Tamandua tetradactyla: one gene and its partner. Each later gene encodes a partner of the first gene's protein in a complex. Links are inferred from orthologs where the notes say so. Each region holds a gene or a part of one and is shown in the gene's direction. Other genes may lie near its edges.

Evidence for each region.
Region 2: VPS39 (region 1) and VPS41 share a complex: the UniProt entries of both Homo sapiens proteins name them as parts of the homotypic fusion and vacuole protein sorting (HOPS) complex. The link is inferred for Tamandua tetradactyla from reciprocal best matches to the Homo sapiens genes VPS39 and VPS41.

What each region holds. Positions count from the first base shown.
Region 1 is NC_135340.1:55,956,021-55,968,154, reverse strand, and holds the start of VPS39 (vam6/Vps39-like protein), read left to right. Parts: upstream 1-6,877; 5' UTR 6,878-7,067; coding exon 7,068-7,140; intron 7,141-12,134. Other genes in the region: TMEM87A (transmembrane protein 87A), read left to right, coding at 290-351, 1,001-1,056, 1,545-1,575, 3,410-3,451. UniProt on the Homo sapiens protein: Regulator of TGF-beta/activin signaling, inhibiting SMAD3- and activating SMAD2-dependent transcription.
Region 2 is NC_135327.1:83,172,143-83,184,286, forward strand, and holds the start of VPS41 (vacuolar protein sorting-associated protein 41 homolog), read left to right. Parts: upstream 1-7,754; 5' UTR 7,755-7,780; coding exon 7,781-7,801; intron 7,802-12,144. UniProt on the Homo sapiens protein: Plays a role in vesicle-mediated protein trafficking to lysosomal compartments including the endocytic membrane transport and autophagic pathways. Acts as a component of the HOPS endosomal tethering complex.

The sequences.
Region 1 (12,134 bases):
ACAATAGCATTCCTCTTTTAGGTATTTGATGAAGTTAGGGTATAGAGAAAATAAGGGTATGAAGCATAAGAGGAAGCCAGGGTAAATTCAGTAAATAAATACACATTAAAAGTAGAGTTTACTTGCTGGAGATAAGCTAAAAATTTAGCTTTGAACTTCACAGTATAAATGTAAAGATAAAGAAACATTTATCATTTAATCAGTCAATAAGCCTAAAAATAAAGTTCTAAATTCGTTTTTGCTAGTCTGTTAACATAATTTTAACCTGTCTACTTTTTTTCTTCCACAGAAGGAATGAAAATGAGAAGTACCAAACAAGAACCAAATGGAAACAGTAAAATGAACAAAGCAGTAACTATGACTTATATTCCTCCTTTGTCTTTGCTCTGTCCCCCAGCCTTTAGTGAAGCTCATTAGTTCTGTTGCATGGGCCTTAAGGATTTTTGTATACATTTATGATTATGCTTGTTTAGAAATATTTTTGATAGATGTTCCCTTAACATTTTTTAGAACAGGCACAAGTGATTCTGAGGCCTAGTTGTCTTTAATTAGATGGTTTGTTGCTATATATTGAAAAAATACCAGACCAATCTGATGGTTCTTTTTTGTCAGTCTTCATTAATGAAGTCATAGTTTCATTAACAAGGCCCAAGGATTTTTTTCAGTCAGCATTTGTTTTAGAACTATGCATCCACTCTACAGTAAGGGCTTTCAAATTTATCTCGGTTTTAAAGAACAAAGCCTGCCTGAAGCAAACTCCCAGGGTTAGGCCATTGAGAAAAGAACATTTAATTATGCAGAGCATCATTTTATATTTCTATTATATGGTTTTTAAAATTAAATTATTTGACTTTTCTGTTAGCAGTCCCAGTTGTTACGTGAATGTACTACACAGAATAGCAAAAGATTAAATTTAAAAATGTTAAGATCTCTTTAAATCCTTACTTGAGAGTTATTATTTAGTGCAGTTTACTAACAACTGGTACCTGTATGTTCCCAGCAGGAAGATGATTTGAAGTGGGTAGAAGAGAATGTTCCTTCTTCTGTGACAGATGTGTAAGTTTTTGAATCATTACCACAAGAATCTTGTTTTATAGTTAGTACTCGTTTTATTGTTATACATACATTGGCTGAGAAACATAGGAATGAGAATGCTTATAATTAAAAGAAATAAATAATTAAAAGATTAGTAATGATATATAGACCAAAGTATATGGAATTATTTGTTCAGAGGATAATTCTTCTTAGAAAGATTTAGCTATTGAGATCAGTGGGAATACAATTTTTGAATTCCTTCCCAGGACTATAATTTTCATGAAATATTGGCCCTATTAGAATGTAGGATATATATGTGGGGTTTTTTGTTTGTTTGTTTTCTTATATTTGTGTTATTTTTATTTCTCTCCTGAAGGGGCCATTAATAAGATATAAATCTTAGGTAATTACAAAAAAGTATCACGTGGCATTCATTATTCTGCTGTCCTTTATGAACCATTTATGACTCTATTTTACATTGTCCAGTTTGGTGTTTTTTCTCTCTGCAGAGCACTTCCAGCCCTTCTGGATTCAGATGAGGTTAGTAATTAAATTATGTCACTGTTCTCTTCAGGTTTTTAGAATTATAGTTGATACCACTGATGTTGTTAACTTTTAATATACCTCCACACGATTCATCTAGACAGCTTCAAATGAAGTCTTATGTAGAATTGTAGTCTGGGTTCATGGGAACTTGTTCTAGACAGAATCTGAATACTAGCTCATTTCAAAACCTTTTGATTTTAGAAAGCCAGTTGGAAGCATCTTGCCTGATTCATACTCAAGGTGTTAGGACTGGTTGCTGTTAAAATGGTTTGTGCATTTCCTACTGACCTGTTATGTGATGCAGAAAACAGTGTCACATTCCTTCACTGTTGTATGTATTGAAATAATTTTAAACCCTGTCATTCAGATTTAAACCTACCAATATAACATCTTGCTTTCTGTGGTGTGTAGTTCTCAGAGCATCTTGCATGTTATATCTGTAGTATTTCCTTTTGGGGCTTTCCTCTGCTAATCGTTTATTTTCAGTGCTTCCTTATGGCTTTAGCTCTATATTTTACCCAGAGAGGTCTGACTTCGTGAAACCAAATTATGCCATTCCTGGGAATACAGGTTTACTATAGTACTTTCAGAGGTGACTTTACGCATCTCTTCATATTTTCCTGTGTGAACAAGCTATGCAAGACTTTGCACGAATACCCAATAAATAGGAAGGTCTTTCTTTTTTAAAACTGAAAAAGAATTTAAATAAATTACAAGAGAATCAAGTTACATGAAAGAGTGAAAACATCATTACGTTCTTCAAAAATCACTTTGGAAATCAGAAAATAATAGAACAATGTCTTTGAATTCTGAGGAAAATTATTTTCAACCTAGTAACTATTTTACCATGAGGGTAAAATAAAGATGCTTTCAGATGGGAAAAAAATTAAAAAATGATATCTTACATGTGCTTTCTGAAGAAAATGGTGGAAAACGTTCTCTATAAAACTGAGGAAATCAACTAAGCAAGAAGGCTTGAAATCTAGGAAATAAAGGATCCAACATAAAACAGAGGCAGGGATAATTTTCATGGTGGTGATATAAGAAAGTTCAAGGGTGACAGTTGTGCAACAGTTTTTAAGACTGACCAGTCTAGAATAGAGCAGAAGAGAGTTTCAGAAAGGGTATTTTTAAGAAAAAAGTGAACAGGATACTTTATATGATACTTGATATGATTGATCATATTAAAAAGGGATTTACATTTCATCTGGATTTTGGGATAAATTTGTGATAAGTACTTAGTTCAAGGGAAAATGAAAAATATATATAAAAAAATAGGACAGGAAAGGAAATAGTAGTACATATAATTTTTGTTAATGGAAATGAGATACTGTAAATACTATTTTATAATCAAATTTAATTTCAATGAGTATATAATATTTCATTGTACAGATATACCATAATGTGTTTATACAGTCCTATATTTTTGGACGTTTAGTTCTTATATTTTTTTCTATATTGCTGACTGTTGTAGTGGACATACTTGTGGCTAAAGTTTAAATTCTTCAGTCAGAAGAGGTACAGTTTTATAAAAGCTCAATCTTAAATAAATATATGTCACATTATCCTGGTCTGACAGTTCCTTTTCATTTGTGGCTTGACGTCCAGAGGCCCAAAGATTTTGATTCAGTTGATCTTGTGTATGGTTTGGTCATTTGTTGTTTCAAAATCTTCAAGTATGGTTAGGAACCTTTGTAATGAATATTTAAGTAACATAAATAAGTATTTGTGGGAAATGTGTGTGTCATGGTATGTATAGAAGATACTTGAAATGTAAACAGCTGTTAATTAATATACTTAGAATTAACCTTTTTTTTTTTTTTCCTAGGAACGAATGATTACACACTTTGAAAGGTCCAAAATGGAGTAAAGACTGGGGGTATTTGCAGTTGAAGATGGCTCATTATTAGGGAAGAGATCAGCTTCTGTGTCAGGTTTCTACCACTGTTCCATGGAGTTAAAGGAGGCAATGACATCCTGATCTGTTCCTTGATCGTTTTGCATTAGAACTGGCAAGAGATGTCAGAACAAGGAGAACATCTTGTTGAAAAGAAGTTCATAGGATGAGAAAAACCTACAAGTTTCTTATTTACAATGTTGATGCCCCTTTCCCTCCCACACACTGAACGTGGATGTTTATGCAAATTTATGTGTATTGTTCCTGAATCTTCTATAATGTTTCAGTTGTTTAATCTGTCAAACTAAAAATTTAACATCTTCTAAAGGACGATGACATCAAAACCATAATGCAGTCTTCAGGAGCAATTGCCAGTGATTTTTATTTATTTAGGGACTTTAGTAGGTGATGGGGGAAATTGATAATTGCCTTTTCAGTTTCCTGTAGAGTCAGGGTTTACAACTGGCAGCGGTGGTTTTAAGAATAAAGGGCCCTTCTGAGTTAAAGAGCCCTGTTTCTATCAATGATTAAAAGAAAAAAGAGGGAGAGAGAAACTGTTACAGTGTGATTCAGATTGTCTAAACAACAAAATCAAGTGCAATTTTGTTTACAAATGGTGTATATTGAAGATTTTTCTATTTCAGATGTAATTTAGAGAGAAATATTAGCTTAACTCTTTTGACATCTGCTATTGTGACACATCCCATTGCTGGCAATGTGGTGCAGGTACACACTCCAGGACTTTTAACTACTGTTTTGTAAGCCTCCAGGGTGGCACTCTGGCGGCACAGGCAATGCCATTCATTGTAGGTCCAGAGAGGTGCTCCCATCTAAGTGCTTGTGAGTGAACACCCTGCTAGAGGGACTGTATTGCTTTACAAGTGGGAACTAACTACAAAGGTAACAGGTCCTTCTGGCTTCATTTAAGCAATTATCCCTGCATGAGGAGGCCCTGGACTGCTGCTCATTCTTTAGGATTGATAGTCCTTATATCTGGTGTTGGTTTCGAAACTGTTTATAAGAGGCATCACAAGGTGATGGGATTCATTTGAAACATTATATTTCTGTTTTAATGGTTTTATCCAGTTTTGCCTTCCCAAGATTTTTGTTCTACATAAAAAGTTCATGCCACTTTTTAATATAAAGAATTTTAACAAAATGAATATATTTTTCTCATTTTTTTCACAGTATTCTCTGAAGATCCTTCTTTCTCCCAGTTTCCTTCTTGAGGAAATTTTCCTTCCGTGACTTTTATTCTAGGTAGTCCTAATTTCAATAGAATCCAATGACCAACCACATTAACTAATGCCCTAACACATACTATAGTGAAAGTGTTAATATTTATGTAGTATTTCTCTATAACTCTCTACTAAAGTGATTTAAAAAAAAATCACCTAGGTTATACCTTTAAGGAACAGACAGTCTGAAGAGCTGATTATATTTTCATGCTAACTTATTAGAAAAAGGCTGGTGTTACTGTCATGTATTCTTCTGCTCTTGCAGATTCAAACTTAGCAGGTGAATAATAGTTATAATGCAGCTGAGAGTTGGTTCAAATATTTTTTGAGGCTGGTAGATGTTTACTTGAGGCAAAAATCTATTCTGTCAAATAGGATTGAACAGTACAAATTCTATAGCTTTTTCTCAGGGCTTACTATGTTACTGGGATTGGATATGGCATATCACTTCTTAGGACAGGTTCAAAAGAATTTACAGTCCCCCAATGACCTGTTACCTTTGAGGTTATATTGTTTACATAGGTCTTGGCCTTTGGGCCTGGAACTAAAAGGTGTTAGGCTTTCTTCCAGCATCGTAGCTAGTAATTCTAAATTTTCAAGAAGGCAGTTACCTATGATGAAAATCAGCCATAACATAAGATTTGTTTAGCATTCTCTACATTTCTCACAACTTGAAAATATTTTGATTCTCACAAACAGCATTTGGTAATGATGGGATAGGTATTCCTTATGTACAGATGAAAAACTGACATTGTATACAAATAAAGTGCACCAGTACCAGTTTTCTGACTTTATATCATAGACTACAACCTTTTTTTCTTTTACATTTTTGCTTCAAACCAAAATGCTTAATTTTGTAATGTACCTGATCTTTTCTTCAGGGGAAATTGCCAGTTACAGATTATTCTTGCAGCTCAAACTTAGTTTTTTTTTGGTGGGGTACATGGTCTAGTAATTGAACCCGGGTGTCCCGCATGGAAGGCAAGTTCAAACTTAGTTTTATTGTTGTTCTTGTACTTAAGTCTCCAGAGGGAATACCTCATACTGCACAGGACCAATAGGAGGAAAGAGCTATGTCTCTTACCTCCCTAAAAGGAATATCAAGATGTAAAACAAAGCTTGAGAGAGTCAAATTGGTGAGAATGAGAAGAGCAATTTTAAAAGCCATTTATTTTGCTGACTCCGAAGGGTTACTGAATCAATTCTTGTTACTCAAAATGTGGTCCAAAGACCTATAGCATCAAAAACACTTGGGAGCTTGTAAGAAATTACCAGTGAGGGCTTACCCTGGGCTTACTGAATCAGAATCTACATTTTAACAAGATCTCCAGGCCTATGCACATTAAGAAGTATTGGCTTAAAACAGTGGCTCTCAGCTGGAGTGATTCCGCCCCCCCCCCCCCTCCCGGAATATCTGACAGTGTCTGAAAATGTTTTATTGTAACTGGGGCGAGGATGTTGTTGGCATCTAGTAGGTAAAGGCTGAAGTTGCTGCTAATGGTCCTACAATGCATAGAACAGTCCCTCACAACCTAATTATGCCTTAAATGTCACTTGTGCTGCATTTGAGAAACCCTGGCCTAGAACAGTAGTTCCCAAGATTGAGAGGGTGTGCACTTACCTTAGGGGTTTATTAAAACACGGATTGCTGGATTCCCAAAGATTATGTTATAATAGGGCTAGAATGAGTCCTGAGACTGAATTTCTGGCAAGTTTCCAGGTGATGCTGGTCCAGAGACCGCACTTTGAGAACCACTGGCTTAGGACAACGTTCAAAATACAGTGGTAAGGTAAATTATTTGGGAATGGTTAATACACCATTTATTGAATGCTTAGAGTCTCAAGAGTTGCCAAGCGCTTACAACAAATCGAAGGTGCGTAACATTACCTTCATTTTGCAGATAAGGAAAAAAGACTTGAGAGATCAATTTCCTAAAAGACATCTAATTTCCGAAATGGCACATCTCCATCCCAGGGGTGGCTGACGCCAAAGCCCAAGCTACAATGCCTAAGACAGTTACGACATTAAGATTACTGTCCCTTCTTGTTAAGCCTATGGCTAATAAGACCTACGAGGAAAAAGCTCTGAGCTAGCAGGAAAAAGAAACCCGGCCCGGGCACTTTTTTGAGGGTAGATTGGAGCCAGGGCGGAAGAGGAGGGATTTCAAGGCGGAAAGGGCGGGCTTAATCCAGCAGGAAGTCCGGAGTTGATGCTGGCTCTGTTGCTGAAGGGCCTTTAGTTGGGGTACCTGGCCGGATTCTGGTCTAAGCTCTCCGGGCGAGGTGCCCGCCCCTGGCCTGGCCCGACCCCCTCGGGGTGAGGCGGCTGCGGCGCCGACTCTCCCGTCGCCATGCATGACGCCTTCGAGCCAGTTCCTATCCTAGAAAAGCTGCCTCTGCAGATCGACTGTCTGGCTGCCTGGGGTGAGCCGAAGGGCCGCGGCGCAGAGTGGGGTCACGCGGGAGTGGCCCTTACCTTCCGTGTCGCTGGGGAAGTGGTCAGGCGTCTGGCCCTGTGGGCTCCGCTCGGACGCTCTCCAAGGGGGGCCCGGGATGAGGAAGGGCGGAGATGTGATAGCCCTGTGGGCTGTAGACAGCGAGGGCGGTGGGACCGCTTGGGAGATCCCCAGGGACTCAGACATTTTAGAGAAGTTCCACCTGCCCTTTCAGAGTGGAGGTTGAGCTTTCCCTGTAAATGGTGCTCAGTTTTGGCCCAGTTCGATTTCCAAGAAGTTTTCAGTTTGGAGGAATAATGCGGTGGGAAGTTCTCAGCCTGTCAAGGGCCTGAACTTATCCATTTATTTCTAGGTGAAAGACGACACTTTTTGTTGTTTTGGTCACCATTCAAATTCCTATATCATATACTTCCACCGCCTCCCTCCCTTAATGATAGGTCATCGTTCACTTCACATTCCTTTGGATAACTAACATTGTTATTGTTGAAGTCTTACTCTAAGCAAGTATTGTTTGCTTTATATCCAGAATGCCCAAGTTCCCTAACTCTGTAGGTAGAACATCATTTTGTACTGCCATGAGACCCTGCCAATAAAAACTTGCATAATTTTTTTTGGATTAGCCGTGCAGAAAGCAGAATCAGGTATCTCTTGTGTGCTTGATTCTTAATTATGAACACTGTGCTCTTACTGTGTTCTTATTTATGAATGGTTGTGTCTGTTAACACCCATCAGAGACCAAGCAGAAATCATTTTAATCTTTCTTGTCAGTGTCCAAAATCCTAGAAGTGAAGGACCTTAAATGGGAAACTCAGAATCCTTCATGGGATTTTATACTGAGTTAGGAACCCACAATAGTCCTGGTGGAATCTAGATGGTGACTGGCATCCCTCAGCATCATCTCTTGACAGTGCCACCTAGTCATTTCTTGCAGAGCTCTTGATTCTCTTCAGTAAGCTTTTCCCCCCACAAATCTTCATGTTAATATTGCCTCTCCCATCTTTAGCAGCCTTGGGCCTCTTTAAAATCAGGTCTTTACAGTAAGCTGTCCTAGTCTTTTGGATTAAGAAGAGAATCCTGCTTTCTCCAGGCATTTCAAGAAAACCTCTGTTTCATGTCATTAAATGTTCTCAGTAAAAAATAGAAATAGAGAAGAAAAAGAGAAATAAAATAAAATGAAAAACCTGGCATTGCAGAAAGGGATTTAGTCTTCCATTCCCTCATCATATATGTATTTGGTGCCTGTGTGAGCCCATTTCTGCTAGGACAGCAATACAAGGATGAATAGGAAACAATAACTGTGCTCCTGGAATAAACAGTGGGGGGCACAGACACATGAACAGATTATAATAGATGATAGACAATACTAGAGATATGTGTAGCCTGTTATGGTAGCATGGAGGAGGGGCACCCAACTCAGTTTAGGACATATGCTTCTGAAAAGGAATGGTAGAGTTACTTAGTACATTTGACTTGACTTATCAAAATCCTGATGTGTATATAGGAAATTCTCTCCTAAAATTGCTGCTCTACTCAGTACCTTCACACTGATATTCTATGGGACCATCATTGCAGATATCTCATAGCCTCCCTTATCAACTCTACTACATCACAGTAAAGATTTCAGGAACACAGTTTTGAAATGGCCTGTAGCTTTTGTCCTTCAATGATCTCCCAAGAAACAGGAGAAATGCCCTTTGCCTCCTAGGGTGCTATGGTAGGTGTTGGGCTACAAAAGGCCATTTACTGTCTCCTACCTCTGAACTGCTTTATTTTTAGACTTTAGCAGTAATAAACATTGCTATTTCTAATCATCACCCCTGTTACCTATTCTGTGCCCTTAGATGAAAAGTTCATCCAGGAACCAGAATATGGAGGGCCAGACAATATTTGAGCTCAAAGACTTCTTAGAGATGCATAAGCCATCTCCTGGGAAATGGAAATAAGGACACTGAATCCAGACTTGTTTATAACCACCTGCCTTTTCAGCATCTTCATTTGGATGTCTAATAACATGTCTAAAATGAAATTCTTTACTCTTCTTCCCCCAAACCTGCTTCTTCTCCAGTATTCCACATTTCAGCAAATGGCATTTCTGTTTACCTAATTGGCTCAGACCAAAAAAACCACACTTCCTTCCATATCCACTATTACTGTTCTTGACAAAAGCACCATCATCTCTTCCTTGAGTTACTGATCTCCTGTGTTGAGTAGTCTTCCAACTGATCACCCTGTATTTACCTTTGGGCTATTTTCAGTTTTTTATCCACCCAGGGATAGAGTCATCCTTTGAACCTTACATCTGATCACATCTTTCCTCTGCTCGAAACGGTCAAGGGACTTCATACTACAACTAGAATACATTCCTAAGTCCTTATTACAGCTGACAACGCCTGGCATGATCTGGCCTCCCTGAATTTACTCTTACTCCTTGTTCCTAGTTCAAGACACACAGTTTTCCTTGCTGTTTCATGAATACACAAAGTACAGAGCTACCTCAGAGCCTTTGCACTTGCTCTTTCCTCTGCCTGGCACTCTCTTCCTCTTGTGGTTCATCCCTCACTTCATGCAGGTGTCTGCTGAAATGTTACCTAAATCAGTGGGACCTTCCCTAACTGTCCTATATAAAAGAGAATGACACATCTGCCAATGCTCAATTCCCTTCCTCGGCCTTTTCCTCTTATTCATGGATCACCACCTAATTTTATTTCATATATTTAATTATTATCTCCCTCACTCCACGTGTTCTAGTTTGCTAGCTGCCAGAATACAACACACCAGAGATGGATTGGCTTTTAATAAAAGGGGATTTATTTTGTTAATTCTTCAGAGGAAAGGCAGCTAACTTTCATCTGAGGTTCTTTCTTACGTGGGACGGCTCGGGGTAATCTCTGCTGGCCTTCTCTCCAGGCCCCTGGGTTCCAACAACTTTCTACAGGGTGATTCCTTTCTGCATCTCCAAAGGCCTGGGCTGAGCTGCAAGTGCTGAGATGAGGTATGCTGAGCTGCTTGGGCTGTGCTACCTTGCGCTCTCTCATTTAAGCACCAGCCAATTAAATCAAACGTCATTCATTGCAGCAGGCACGCCTCCTAGCTGACTGCAGATGTAATTAGCAACAAATGAGGTTCACGAACCATTGACTCATGTCTGCAGCAACAGAACTAGGTGCCTTCACCTGGCCAAGTTGACAACTGAATCTAACTGCCACTTCACGTTAGAATAAATTTCCTTAAAAGCAGGAACTTTGTTTTATACATTATTGTATCCTCAGGGCCTGGAACAGTTCCTCACTCATAATGAATAGTCATTAAATATTTGTTTAATTAATGAATGAAAATGATATTAGTATTAATAGCTTCCATTTATTGAGTACTGATCTGTATTGTTAGCTCTTTTTCTAAGGGCATTTATGTAATAAAAGTAACTCCATTTTACAGAGGAAAAGCCTGAGGCTTAGAGAATTTAATTTTTCCAAGATCACATAGCCAGTAAATCATGTCTTAGTTCTAGAGTTTGTTTCCCAATTCTTTATGTACATCAGAGCCTGTAAAAAACGCAGGGTTTTTTTTTTTTCTGCGTGTCTGTATATATGCATATTGTGTGCATGTGATATTAATACTTAAGTTTTCAAAAGAAACAGTGGAGGGATGAGCCAAATAGATAAACCAATGGAAGAATAAACCAAAAATTACTAAAAGGCTACCTGTAGCAGAAAAGCGGGAACAGGGTGGAATGGACAAGGATAGAACCTAGATTTCTCATAGTTTTAGTTTTAGAACTACATAAATGTTTCATATAACTGAAAAACATAAAAATTAAGCTTAAAAATGCCGATTTCAGGGTACCACTCTGGAGTCATGGAATCACAATCTCTGGGAACAGTGCACAGGAACATGCAGTTTTTTTAAGCTTTTTTTTATTGTATAATATAACAGAGTATATACAAAGCAAAAAAACAGTAGTTTTCAAAGCACTCTTCAACAAGTAGTTACAGGATAGATCCTAGAGTTTTTCATGGGCTATCATACCATCATCTCAGATTTTTCCTTCTAACTGCTCCAGAACATTGGAGGAAAGAAGGAATAAATACTTTTTTTAATCATCACCATAGACTTTTTTTTCTTTTTTGTGAAAAATAATGTATATACAAAAAAGCAATAAATTTCCAAGCACATCGCAACAATTAGTCATGGAACAGATTTCTGAGTTTGGTATGGGCTATAATTCCACAATTTTAAGTTTTTACTTCTAGCTGCTCTGAGATACTGGAGACTAAAAGACATACCAGTGTAATGATACAACAGTCATACTTGTTTGTTAAACCCTACCTTCTCTATATAACTCTACCATCACCTTTGATCTTTCTCCAGCTCTTTAGGGGTATTTGGGCTATGCCCATTCTAAGTTTTTCATGTTGGAAGGGGCTGATAATATTATGGGGTCGGGAGATAGAACTAGTTTATGTTCAGAAGAGACTGGCCTCTGTAGGTTTCAGGATTTTTCTTGTCCAGGGACCCATCTGGAGGTTTTAGGTTTCTGGAAAGTTACCCTAATGCATGGAGCCTTTGTAGAATCTTATATAATCCCCTAAGTGAGGAACATGCATTTTTCACAAGACCCAGTAATTCTGATGCAGCTGATAATGGGCTCATGCTTTGACAATCACTGTTTTTTTTGCCATATGACCAAAGAAGAGAGGGCCTTATTCATCTCTGCATTCCCTGCAGTGGCTAATGTTGAGCCAGGAATGGAATTATTACACGAGGTTCAACCATGTTGCATTGTTAGTTGAAGCTTCAATAGGTTAATTATGAATAGGAAGGTCCAGCCTTACTTCCCAGGAGGGATCAAATCCAACCTTCTGTTCCAGATTAGGCTGCCAGGAATTTTCTAGGCCTGACCCTGTGTGTGTTACACATTTGTGTGGATTGTTCCACAGTCTCATATGTAGTATTGGCTCTAAG
Region 2 (12,144 bases), on another chromosome or scaffold:
TGGGGTAAGGGAAGAGCCACCAGATGGGGAAGAGCAGCAAGGCCAAAACATCCCAGCTCGAAGTAGGAGCTACAGGAACCAATGTGTGGAGAGTACATGAAGGGAAGAGCAGTTACCAGCAAGACATACCAAGCCTTGGGTTCAGTTGCTGCCACAAAAGTATGCTGGTGCCTAGGGCAGCTATTTTTCTCCAGCAGTTGTCAAAGCAAGTAGAAATACCCCGTGGGAGTCTCACAAGGATTACCTAAAGATCCAAGCATGGCCTCACTTTAGTGAGCGATGTTATCTTATACTTTCATTCTGTGAACTTCCTCTTCTCTAGCATTCTCCTTGGTGGATCTTGCATGTTCCCTTCATAAGGGAAGTGGGCCTCCCTTGTCAGGGTTTGCCATTCTTCTCCTTAAAACAGTAGTCAAATGTCCCTACACTTCATTTCTGGATTAGGTACTTGTAACTAAAATTGTGTTTTCACGTTACAATGATATACATAGTGGCTAAGCTCCCTGGTTGACACATTCCAGCCTGGCTAGTACAATAAGTGACCATGATACCACAGAAACACAATAAAGTATAAATAAAACTCTCCAGTGACTAAGTTTGGTTTCTTCCAAGAACTGGTACAGCAATAGTAATGTGTCCTCCTATTTTTTTGTAACATGTAAAGTCAACTGCATTGCAGATTAAATAGGCTTCTGTGGGCTGGCCAGAAAAGATTTATATTATTGTTTATATGAAAGAGTGAATATTAAGTTTCAATCAATTGACATACCCATTATTTAGATTTTTGGAAAACAATATGGGGATCGCCCTTGCTTTCATTTAGTGCAGCAAATCCTTCCCCCTTCTCTTCTCTCTTCTTCCTCTTCTTTTTCAATTTTTAGTGTCTTTATATTTGAAGGGCTTGAGATATACAGAAGGGAAAGACTCTTGCTTCCACAAACATACCTTGAAATTGGACTCTTGCTGAAAAATGGACCTTGTTTCACAAATATTATTGTGATCCAATGACAAGATGTGCTTAAGTATTTTCTTTCAAAATTTTGATTGAAAATGAAAGACTCTCTATAAAATAATACATTTTCTGGACACAACTAAACACCTGGATTCTGAACAGGCTGGATTCCTGCTTTAAGTTAAAATATTAGCTTTGTGCTTTTCTGTCAAAAATATGAAGGAAGTTCAGTAAATGGATTGTATATAAACGGTCTACGTCTGGGGAAAACCCAAACAGATGGTCTTTGAAATATTTGTTGCTTACACTTATAACAGGAATCCAAAGGATGAATAAAATATTTTCTAAATTTTTCAAAATTACCACATTAGAGTTTCCAAAAGGTTGTTCCAAGAATTTCGAAATTCCTGATACTTCCAAGGAATTTTTAAGACACCTTCAAAGTTCTCTGACCAAGTTACTTCACATCTATACTTTTTCTAAGGAAATATTCATAAATTGGACAAGGGCACAAAGATGTGATATTTACTACATCATAGTTTATAGTTGTGAAAAATCGAAAGAACCCTAAATATTCAAAAATAGGGGATTGACTATACAAATTATGGTACTTAATTCGATGAAAGACTATACAAGTATGTAGCTCTGTATTTATTTATGAGGAATTGTATTTATGATAAGGGAAAAAATGACAAATTATTTTTAAAACTCATAAGTAGTTCCCTCTAAGGGAAAACATGAAGGGAAAAAAGTCACCAAAATAGCTGCAGGATAAAACCCTCCTGGGGCCTCTTTTCTCTCTATTACTGAGAAGTGTTGGGGCAGGTCACTTAGCTATTGCCTTTCTTCTCCCCACCTCCTCTAGAAATTCAAAGCTGTGAAGAACTAACAAACAAACTGATGATCACTTATGGAAAATGATCACGGAAATGGGAAATGGATAGGATTTTCCACCCTCACTTGGTCAAGGTACGACTGTAAACTCTCTATAAGCGTACAGAAAATAACTTTTTTTTTCTTTAAGCTGTAGTATACATAAATACAATACATAGAATACAATACAAAATACAATAAAGTAAATAGTCTTACTTTATTTCTAAGGGAGTCTTCTGATAATTCCTGCATAGAAGTTTCCTCCAAGAATTACGTTAGGGACAAGTCTGCAAACCCCCAAGTTCCATCTTTCTTTGGCATGGAAAGAAGGAAGGTTAGAGAGCGGTCACAGCCTATATATAGGTGAGGATCATGATAAAAGGAACCTAGCAAGGATGCAATATTTATACGCATATTCAAGTGTAGGAAACACAATAGCAGCACAACAAAAATAAAAAATGTATTATAACATAAATAAACTATAAATTTACATTTATTCTTTTAAATCCATATTTAATTCAATTGATAGTTTATTAAATTATAATTAATTATAATTTTAATATGTCAAATTACATATAAACTCTAATTTATAACATAAATGAAAATACACATTTTCTCATTTATTTTTCACAACCGGGAGGAAGACATTACTGACTAAATTGACAGCTTAGAAAAGTTAACTTGCCCAAGAGAGTACTGTGAAGGCCACAGATAGGATTTCAACCCTGATCTGCTTGATTCTCAAGCTCTTAAAACATTACACTGAACAAGAAAGAGCCTGTGACAAATTTGCATCCTGGTGCATTTGTCCCTCTGTCCAAAGATCCCAGTCTAAAAATACTTCCTAAAATAAAAGTTTTCTCTTTCCATACCATGCACATGCATTCTCTCCTTTTCTCCTTTCTCTTGTTTGCAGGTTTGCAAGTAGGAAAACGTGCAGTAAGTAATGCCTTTGTATTCAAGTCATTTCTAATCTCGACAATCCTCAATGGTTCTCTTCCACTGTATCAGTTAAGATTGAGTCTGACTGTGTAACAGACAACCCCAAATAACACAAAGGTTTATTCTTTTGCTTGAGGTAAATTTGGAGGCAGGTATTCAGAGCAGGCATGGTGGCTCCGAAAAGTCATTGGGATCCCAGGCTCCTTCTATCTTTCTGCTTCATCCTTACTGCTTGGTTACCATCCTCAAGACCACCTCTGTGAGCTTAGATGGTTGTCGGAGGATCTAGTAGCAGGAAGAACAAAAGGAATATCCCCAGCTCTCTGTCCCTTCTTTCAGAGCTTTCTTGGAAGGCACAGGTAACACTTTAAATTATCTATCATTGACCAGAACAATCACACAGCCTAATTGCCATAGAAGCCAGGAAATGCAGTTCTTTTATTTAAGCAAATTGCTGCCCCCAAATTGACAGGCACTATTTTATTAAAGAAGAAGTGAATGGATATTAGGTAGGCAATTAGCATTCCCTGCCATAACTGCTTGTCAAATTAAGACAAATTTATGTTTGATATCAACAGACCCTAGCCTCTTCTTACCTAATTATTCTTATATCTGACTTTTCAGGTGCTTTTCCACATCTTTGCCTCTTCTCATTTTGTTTCCTCAACATGAAATATTTCGCTTTCCTCTCCTTTCTACCAACAGTTTCTTACTCACCCTTTAAGGGCCACTTGATATATACACTTCCTCCATGAAGTGTTCTGATATGTTTTATGAGATTTGCTCACTTTTTCTTTTGATTCCTTCCACTGGTGCTGACTTAAACTTCTTCACATAACATCGTCACTCTAAATCTTCAATGTCTCCTTATTTTCTGATAAAAAACTCTGAAAGTTACTCAGGTGGCAGGGTACCAAGAAATAGTAGTTCTTTTTGGGAAAAAATCATGAAATAGAAATGTTAAGTTAATTAATTGATTCCATCAACAAATGTTTATTGAGCTCCTATTATGTGCCAGGAACTATGCTAGGTTCTGGGCAGATGTTTGTTTGTTTGTTTATTTTAAAAGCTGCCAAAGAGAGCATAATAGCTTTTTTTTTTTAATGAAGATTTCACTTACTATTTTAAAAATACACTATTGTCTCCCAGTGTCTGTTTCTGGTTAAGAAATAGCAAAATTTAAAGACTTCAAGAAAACATATAGGTGAAAAGCCCTAAATGGAATTAATAATAGAAATTAACTTACTACTTTTTTTTCCTGTGAATTGGGAAAATGCTATCAGCATTTTATTTTAGCAATGAAATTTCTTGGTCCATATCATGGCACAGTAGTTGTGTGGGAGCCTAACTTCAGAACCACCACAGCGAGTCTAAACTCCAACCCATTGAATGTTCCCATGAATTTATATATTCCCAGAGATCCTCTTATGCATCTGCCTGCACTTTTCTCCCCTCATGTGTCTGCCTGCACTTCAAATACTAACTGTACACTGAAGATCTCAGAATATATAACTCCAGCAGCTGACTCTTCTCAGCTTCAGAACCAAATGATGTTTGGTTCTGTTTGATGAAGTTTTCAAAAAATGATGATATCTAATATTTGACAGAAAGAGGATACAGAACTTTCATAACAATTCACAGGAGTATAAATTGGTGTCACCTTTGAATGGCACATCTGCCAAAATTTATAGATATAATTAGCTATGCCCTAAATATATGACAAAATCAATGATATAAATTATGATATTTTTACTGAACTCAATTATAATGCATACCATTAAAGCCATGTTTTAGAACAATATATTATAATGCTATTGGAAAATGATCCTGAAATACGATTGAGTGAAGAAAGCAGATAACAAAGCTTCATGATACAATTTTTTAAGGAAAAACTTTCAATAAACAGAGAGCGACACTAGAAAGAAGTATAACCAACGATGATTATCAGGGGGAATTATTGGTGGCTTTTATCATTCTATTTCCTTAATTTTTTGTATTTTTCCAATCTTCTATAATGAGGATGCATAATTTTGTAATTTGAAAAATGTTTTTAAAAAAATCTAGTGTGGTTGCTATGGGAACCTTCCAGTAAATTAGATCTTAAAATGACATCTAGGATATTAGAAGGTAACAGGTTTAGTAGGTACAGTTTTTGAAAAACTAAAATGTCTATCCCAGAAAGATCTTTTGATTGAAAAGTTTGCAATCTAAGGAGCAATGGAAAGTAGAGATTGAGAAAAGAATTTCTCAATAAAGCGGCATGTAGTTAGAAGGGATATTGGGGTGATTTTTTTTTTTACTCCATCATTCCACTTTGCTAATTTTCCAAGTACCATAAAATTAGCAATATACTAAATTATATATATAAGTCATCCATACTATTTAAGGCTATTTTTTATGAATAAAATAGCTACAATTTAGTGAATGAGTAAAATGTTTCAGATCTATATAACCTTATGAGGCAGGTCCTTTAAACCAGTGAACCATTCTACACATTAAAGGTATTAGGTTTGGTTTCTGAAATCTATTCATAGTTTTGGCTCCTATGGACTGAGAATGAGAAGTTGGCTCTTACTTTTGCTTTGAAGATCGAGAAAGGTGAGCTGATGATGGGTGTGCTGGTTTGAATCTGTGGTGGACTCCAGAAAAGCCGTGTCCTTTAATCCTCATTCAATATTGCTAGGTGGGAGCTTTTTGATTATCCATGGAGATGTGACCCACCCCATTGTGGGTGGTAACTTTTGATTAGATGGTTTCCATGGAGATGTGTCTCCACCCATTCAAGGTGGGGTTGCTTGCTGAAGCTCTTTAAGAGGAAACAGTTTTGAAAAAACTTTAGAGCCCACGCAGCCAAAATCGTTTGGAGATGGAGAAGGAAAATGCCCCTGGGGGAGCTTCATGAAACAAGAAGCTGGGAGAGAAAGCTAGCAGACTTCATCACATGCTGTTCCAGCTAAGAGAGAAACCCTGAACTTCATTGGCCTTCTTGAACCAAGGTATCTTTCCCTGGATGCCTTAACTTGGACATTTTCATAGCCTTAGAACTGTAAACTAGCAACTTATTAAATTCCTCCTTTTAAAAGCCATTCCATTTTTGGTATATTGCATTCCGGCAGCTTGCAAATAAAACAATGGCCAAGAAAGAAGCAGATTATTTGCCATCTAATTAAAGACTGTTAGGCTGGATATTTCTCAGACATCAATGTGCATATATATCACACCGGTATAGTATTAAAATCCAGACTCTGGTTCAGCAGCTCCGTGGAAGGGCCCAATGTTGTACATTTCTAACAGACTCTCAGGTTATGATGCTAATGTTGCTGGTCTGTGGGCCACACTTTAAGCAGCAAGGTGCTGGAGGACCTCCTAGATAAGGGAGCCCAAACTTTCATTTCACATGGGAGGACATGAAGTGTGAAGGTAATGTGGGAATTACCTCCCACCCACTGGCCAGGAAGAACCTGCTAATCTGGAAAGAGATTCTTCCACTAATTCATCTTTCCATATACCCATGTCTCATCACTATTCCAGTCTGTCCAAAAGAAAAGAGTAATGGATTCAATGTTCAACTTATTTTTTTGGGTCAAGACGCTAATGGGGGACAGACTTGAGGGATCTGACTCTCAGAGGCTGAGTCATCTGGGAGCATCATCATTTCTCTCTGTGGTAAACATTGCCACAGTTTCAATCAGGCCATAAGATATTCTTTGGGATGAGAAAGAGGTTTGAAGTTTTTCATTCCGGAAGAATGGAAGGAAGGCCCAAAGTGGACAGCGAGCTTCCATCATTGCTGCATGGATGGTTACTGTGTGTTCCCTTCCAGGAGGTCCCCCAGAGCAGAACCTGAGTGGTAGGTCATGGATTTAGTTCCTGAGGAATTTTGGAGAAGACCCAACCAGCATATAAAGGGAGCTCCAGCCCCCAAGAAAAGAAAAGATGGCAAATTCAGCCCTGAAATCATGGAGCAGCAGCCCTAGGGTGGGGTTGATGGTGACTCTCAGCATCTTCCTCCAATAAGGCATTTCAACTGACTCCCACCCCTAATCCTACTATCACCACAGTTGGTCATTTCCAACGCCCTCTGCTAGTTACCAACTACTGGAGATGAGTAGGAGAACAAAATGCCTCTTTTTGGACCTCAGATTCTGCAGATTCCTGAGGATTAGGAAGGAGAACTCATAAAGTTCAGAAACATGGAGAAGGGATCGGGCATTCAAAAGGATGGAAGTGATGTAGTGACTATACAGATTTTTTTCCATTGCTGTATATTTAACCCAGGACAAATTTATATCTTGCACATTTGCCTATACAGTATGCTCAAGGAAGGTTTAATAAATAATTAATATGCACACACAATTTTTTTTTTTAATTTCAATGTCCAGATGCCAGAAGGCACCAACTTAGAAATAGGAAATAAAAATTTGTTGGATATAAAGTTGTCTCTGGTTTTCCACTACACAGACTGCTTTTTGTGCATTTAATTTACTTGAAGAAAAAAAAAAGCCAAGAACTCTCTTACACTAAGCAACATTTGGTAATTACACAGTCTTAGGGCCAAATTCTAATCCTAGCTCTGCCACTCACTAGCTGCATAAACTCTGAGTCAGTGTTCTCACCTATTCTGAGTCAGTGTTCTCACCTCTACATGGGGATAATAGTAGAGATGCTGGGAGGGTTAAATGAGATAATCCACGCAGAGCTATAAACTCCGGGACTAATACAGTAACTGCTTAATAAATATTATAAATCACAGAAACAGCAAGAACACCAATAAAACAAGTAATAGCTTTAACGATGGATATGTTCAGTGTCCCTAACACAAAACTCGAATGGGTTTGGAGGGCCGGAAGTAGAATAACTCTCAACAGTCGGTTCTTCAGTTAGAAAAGACAGGTTAAGTCTTCTCCTTCGGGAAATCCAGAAAATGTAAAACTACATTTCCCAGTAGGCTCAGGGGTCCACTAGCCGTGGTTTCTCACTTCCGGGTCTGTCATGTGACTCCCCGGCTGCACCATGGCGGAAGCAGAGGAGCAGGTAAAGGCTGCTAATGCTAGTTCATGGCGCAAGGGAGGAAGAGAGGATTGTGAGGTGGGCGGGGGGCTTGGAGGAACGTGAGGGGGTGCGGAGATGCTGGAGAGTGGCGAAAGTTCATTTCGGGGGTCGGAGCATTTTGGGGGAGAGTCCCTGGGGAAAGCACATCGACACATCCGCAGTGTTCCGGAGGCGGCCTTTCCGTGGCTGGGTTCACTGTGGCCTGTGCCCAGTGAAATTTTGGCATGAAGGGAGGCGGGGGCTCACCAGGACTTGACTACTTTGGGGGTGGGCTGCATGAGAGATGACTTGAGTTTTCAGGCTAGGTGACTGAAATTCAAGTTACTTTCCACTCTGAGCAGGGCAGTGAGGGCTGATAGGCGGGAGAACTAGGGGAGAGTACATGATGACTTTTGTATCTCTTGGATTTAGGTACAAAGCTGAGTAATTGTTGGTGCAGCAGTGTTAAAGGGCATCGGTTCTGGAGCAAAAAAAGTGTCTAGGCTCCAGTGCTGGTTCCCTTTCTTACTGAACATTTGACTTTAGGTTAGTTATTTAACTTTCAGCTATAAAATAGAGATTATAGTCCATCCTTAAAAGGTGGTTTTAAGATTCAATGAATGCATACAAGTAAAGTGCTTAGAATTGTTGGGCTTAATCAAAATTAGGAGAGATTATTTATTGCTGGCAGGATGCCATACAGCAATGTCCAGTTAACCTGAATTTGGGGGTTTAGGTGTTAGTGATAGGAATATGAATTATTTTCATATAGGCAATAGTGATAGCCACAGATCAGATGATGTGACCAAGCAAAATCAAGAAGAAAAGAAAAGCAGACCAAGAACCTGGGGAAGTACCTTCATTTTGCATTTCCAGACTCGTTTCAGTTTGGCACTGTTTTTCTTCACAAATTAACAGGTCCCTCAGTTGCTGTAATTACCTTTAAAAAAATGGTTGATGGTGAGTTGTTTAAATCACAGTAAGAGAAGGGTAGTACAATAATTTAACTTGTACTGTTTGCAACATACTTCATTTAAATAATGAAAATTTCTCCTGAATACATTTTATATATGCCAATAATTAAAACCTTTGACTTGATAGAAATTTCATTTGGTTGGCCATCTTGATAACGGAAGAGTCACCTACCTCTTACCCATAGTGGAACTTCTCATTTTCTTTTAAGGTACTTTAAAAGAAAATGCTCCTTAAGCACATATAATTTCATGACTCACTGATGTTAGTGGTGAGATTGGTTTCCACACTGTCCTCATTTTATGTTGAAATATAATTTTTTTGTGGTTTAATTTAAAAACAAACAAGCAAAAAGCCAAAACAACTTCTGTACATTCTTAGTTACAGTGTAATAGAAATGGAGTTACTCTTAGTATTTACTACTGTTTTGTTCTGAAGAAGAGTTTGGCACAGCTGGTGAAAAAGACACATAGAAAGTTACATATATGATTAAGATGCATCACATTTGTATAGCACTTTCCAATATAGAATCCTTTCACATTGTGTTTGGTCCTCACAAAGGGATCCTGTGAGATTAATACTCATCTGATATAAATCAGGTCAAGCACCGCCTGTGTTCCAGATTTTCCAATAGCATCCCATTTCTGAGGAAAAGTCCACAGCCCTTCTAAAATCCAGTTGTCCTACAGGACCTTGTCCCAACTCTCCTCAGCTTCCTTTCTTTGAACTCATTTCCCACTGTTCTCTCCTTTCTCTCTCACTCTGCATCAATGCCACTGGCTTACTTCCTCTTCCTTCAGCATGCAGAGCATGTTCCTACCTTAGGGCCATTGCTTATGCCAAATAATTACAGGACCCTCTCCCTCTTTCCCTTCTTGTCTTTATCCAAGTGTTACCTTTTTGAGTGAGCCCTGAGCATTATTTGAAAACTCTGTCACGCATTATGTTTCTCTGTAGCACCTATCACTATCTGACATTCTTTAAATAAAACAAATTTAATTAAATTTTAAAATATGTATTTGTTTATTTATAGCAAATAAAATTTAAACAAATAAATTGCCTTCCTATTAGAATGTAAGCTGTATGATGGCAAGGATTTGTTGACAGCATATGCCTAGTACCTAGAGTAGTGCCTGGCACTTTGTAAATGATGTATTGAATGATTGACTTTGACAGATAAGCAAACTAAAATTCAGAGAACTTAATCTTAGACTCACATCCATAATAATCTCCAGTTTTCTATCTGTAAAACTCATGAGTTTTTGTAGTATAACACCCTGCTTTTTTAAGAACACTTAAGAACCTAAATCAAAATCATTTTTTGAAATAAGTCCTTGTCACCTTAATAATTTCTCTTCATGTATTATTCCACCTCTGATCCTTTAATAGCCAGTATGTATTTTGGGTGGGCATTTGCCTCCCTAGCAATGTCAGTGTTATTTTCAAAAAGATCCGGAGTCTTGTCAACACCAGAAAAAAGCAAACATTCAAAAAATTACTGTTCTGTTCATTTTTTTAAAAAGAAAGCAAGTTAATAAATGCACCTATAAATAAAAATGGTTAGGTTTTGCTCAATCTCTTTGATTTGATTTCTTGCATTTCACTGTAAGAAAAATTAAAGGCTCACCAAAATAGGAAGCATTAATTATACAATTTTTTAAAGTCTAACAGAGCTTAAATGAATTTGCAAATTGTTCTGTTCTCCTTTCTTAAGCCTTTTAAAAATAATGACATAATTTTTTTTCCTGAATGTTTTAGGAATTGAGATGCATATTAAATTAGCCACCATGACAACTTATAAGTCAGGGCAAAGGAAGGTTTTATATTTACAGCACTGTGTACTCTAAATGCAAACAACCCTTCAAAATAAGTGTAATGCTAAGCAAGACTAAATTAAACCCTCTCTGCATTAACTTTCCTGAGCATTACATTCTTTGGTGATTGCCTGCCCCCCATCCTTAATTTTAGGAAGAACTGAAATAGTGAGATCTGCATGGTTAACATAAAACAGTTCAAAAATATTTAAATAAAATCACTTTCTGGATATGACTGGCATTTTTTTTTTGGTTATTGGGAAATCATTGCTTTTGCTGAGGATAGTAAAGGTATTTTGCAAAAATAAATATGTATATATTATATAGTTCACAGACAGAACTAATGTCCTGCATTCTGCCTGGGAATTTTGCAATCAGCCTTTTACCTGTCTATAAAATAATTTATGGTTGACCTTCATAATCACAGATCCCAATAGTATTTGTTCATACCTTTCATGAATGAACATTCTGCTTGAAGTTTGGTTGTTTGTATATTTGTCTTATATCTCCTACAGATTACTGAGTCTTTAAGAATAAGTACAAGAGCTGACTCATATCTATCTTTCACAGGGCTAATAATTTATATGTATTAGGTGCTTAATAAAATGTTTAAATTAATTTCAGGAGAATTTGTATTAAATTATTTTATCTTTCTTGAACTTTTTGAAAAGTTATTTATTCAAATGTAATATATATTAACAGTTGTTATTTTCCTTACTCCTACCATTTCCCTAGTTACTCTTCCATCTTTTCTACTCAACCAGTATGGAGTCAGGTTCATTAAAATATTTGAGCAGTCAAAATGCCTATCCATTCACCAAATACGAATTAGCAGATGGCACATTCATGAACACGTATATTCCTGTGTAATTGTGCAATAACAGTCACATTTTGAGTGCCTCAGTTTCCTTGTCTATAAATTGATAATTTTAATTTCCAGGACTCTTGGAAATATGGGATGAAATAAAGTAAGTCAGAGTGCCTAGGTTGAAGTGGTTGTTTTATACTCAGGACAACACTTTGTCATCCAGACTTGGGCTCGCCTTAGGTGTGCACAATACTCTTTTCTTTCAAGTTGGCCAAGACAAATTCTTTAAAAGCAGCTCTACTGATAACTAAAGGAAAAACAAAGCCCTAAACTGGAAGCTGCAAAGTCACAAGATGATACAAATTTTTAGAGAGTTCACTTTTCATTACCATGTAATGAAAATGTACTCACATGTTAAGATTAGCTGGGAGCTGTTTATTGCCTCACAGTCTCATTTTTCCTCTCATCCTCACCTGGATAATTTGGCTTGAAGACAGTGTTACTAGCTGATTAGTAGTCTCCCTGGCACCACATGTTACCACCTTGGAGATGGGGTGACACTCTGGTCCTATTTTATGTGTTTGTTGTCAAATACTTGTGATTCCAGGTCCTTATTTCAGGCTTGCTGAATCAGAATCTCTGAAAGTAGTGCTAAGGATTATATACTTTTAGCCAGTTTCCAAACTGAGTTTAGAAAATTCTGATGGAAAGTCAGATTTGAGAATTCCACTTCACTGGGACACTGTGTTTGT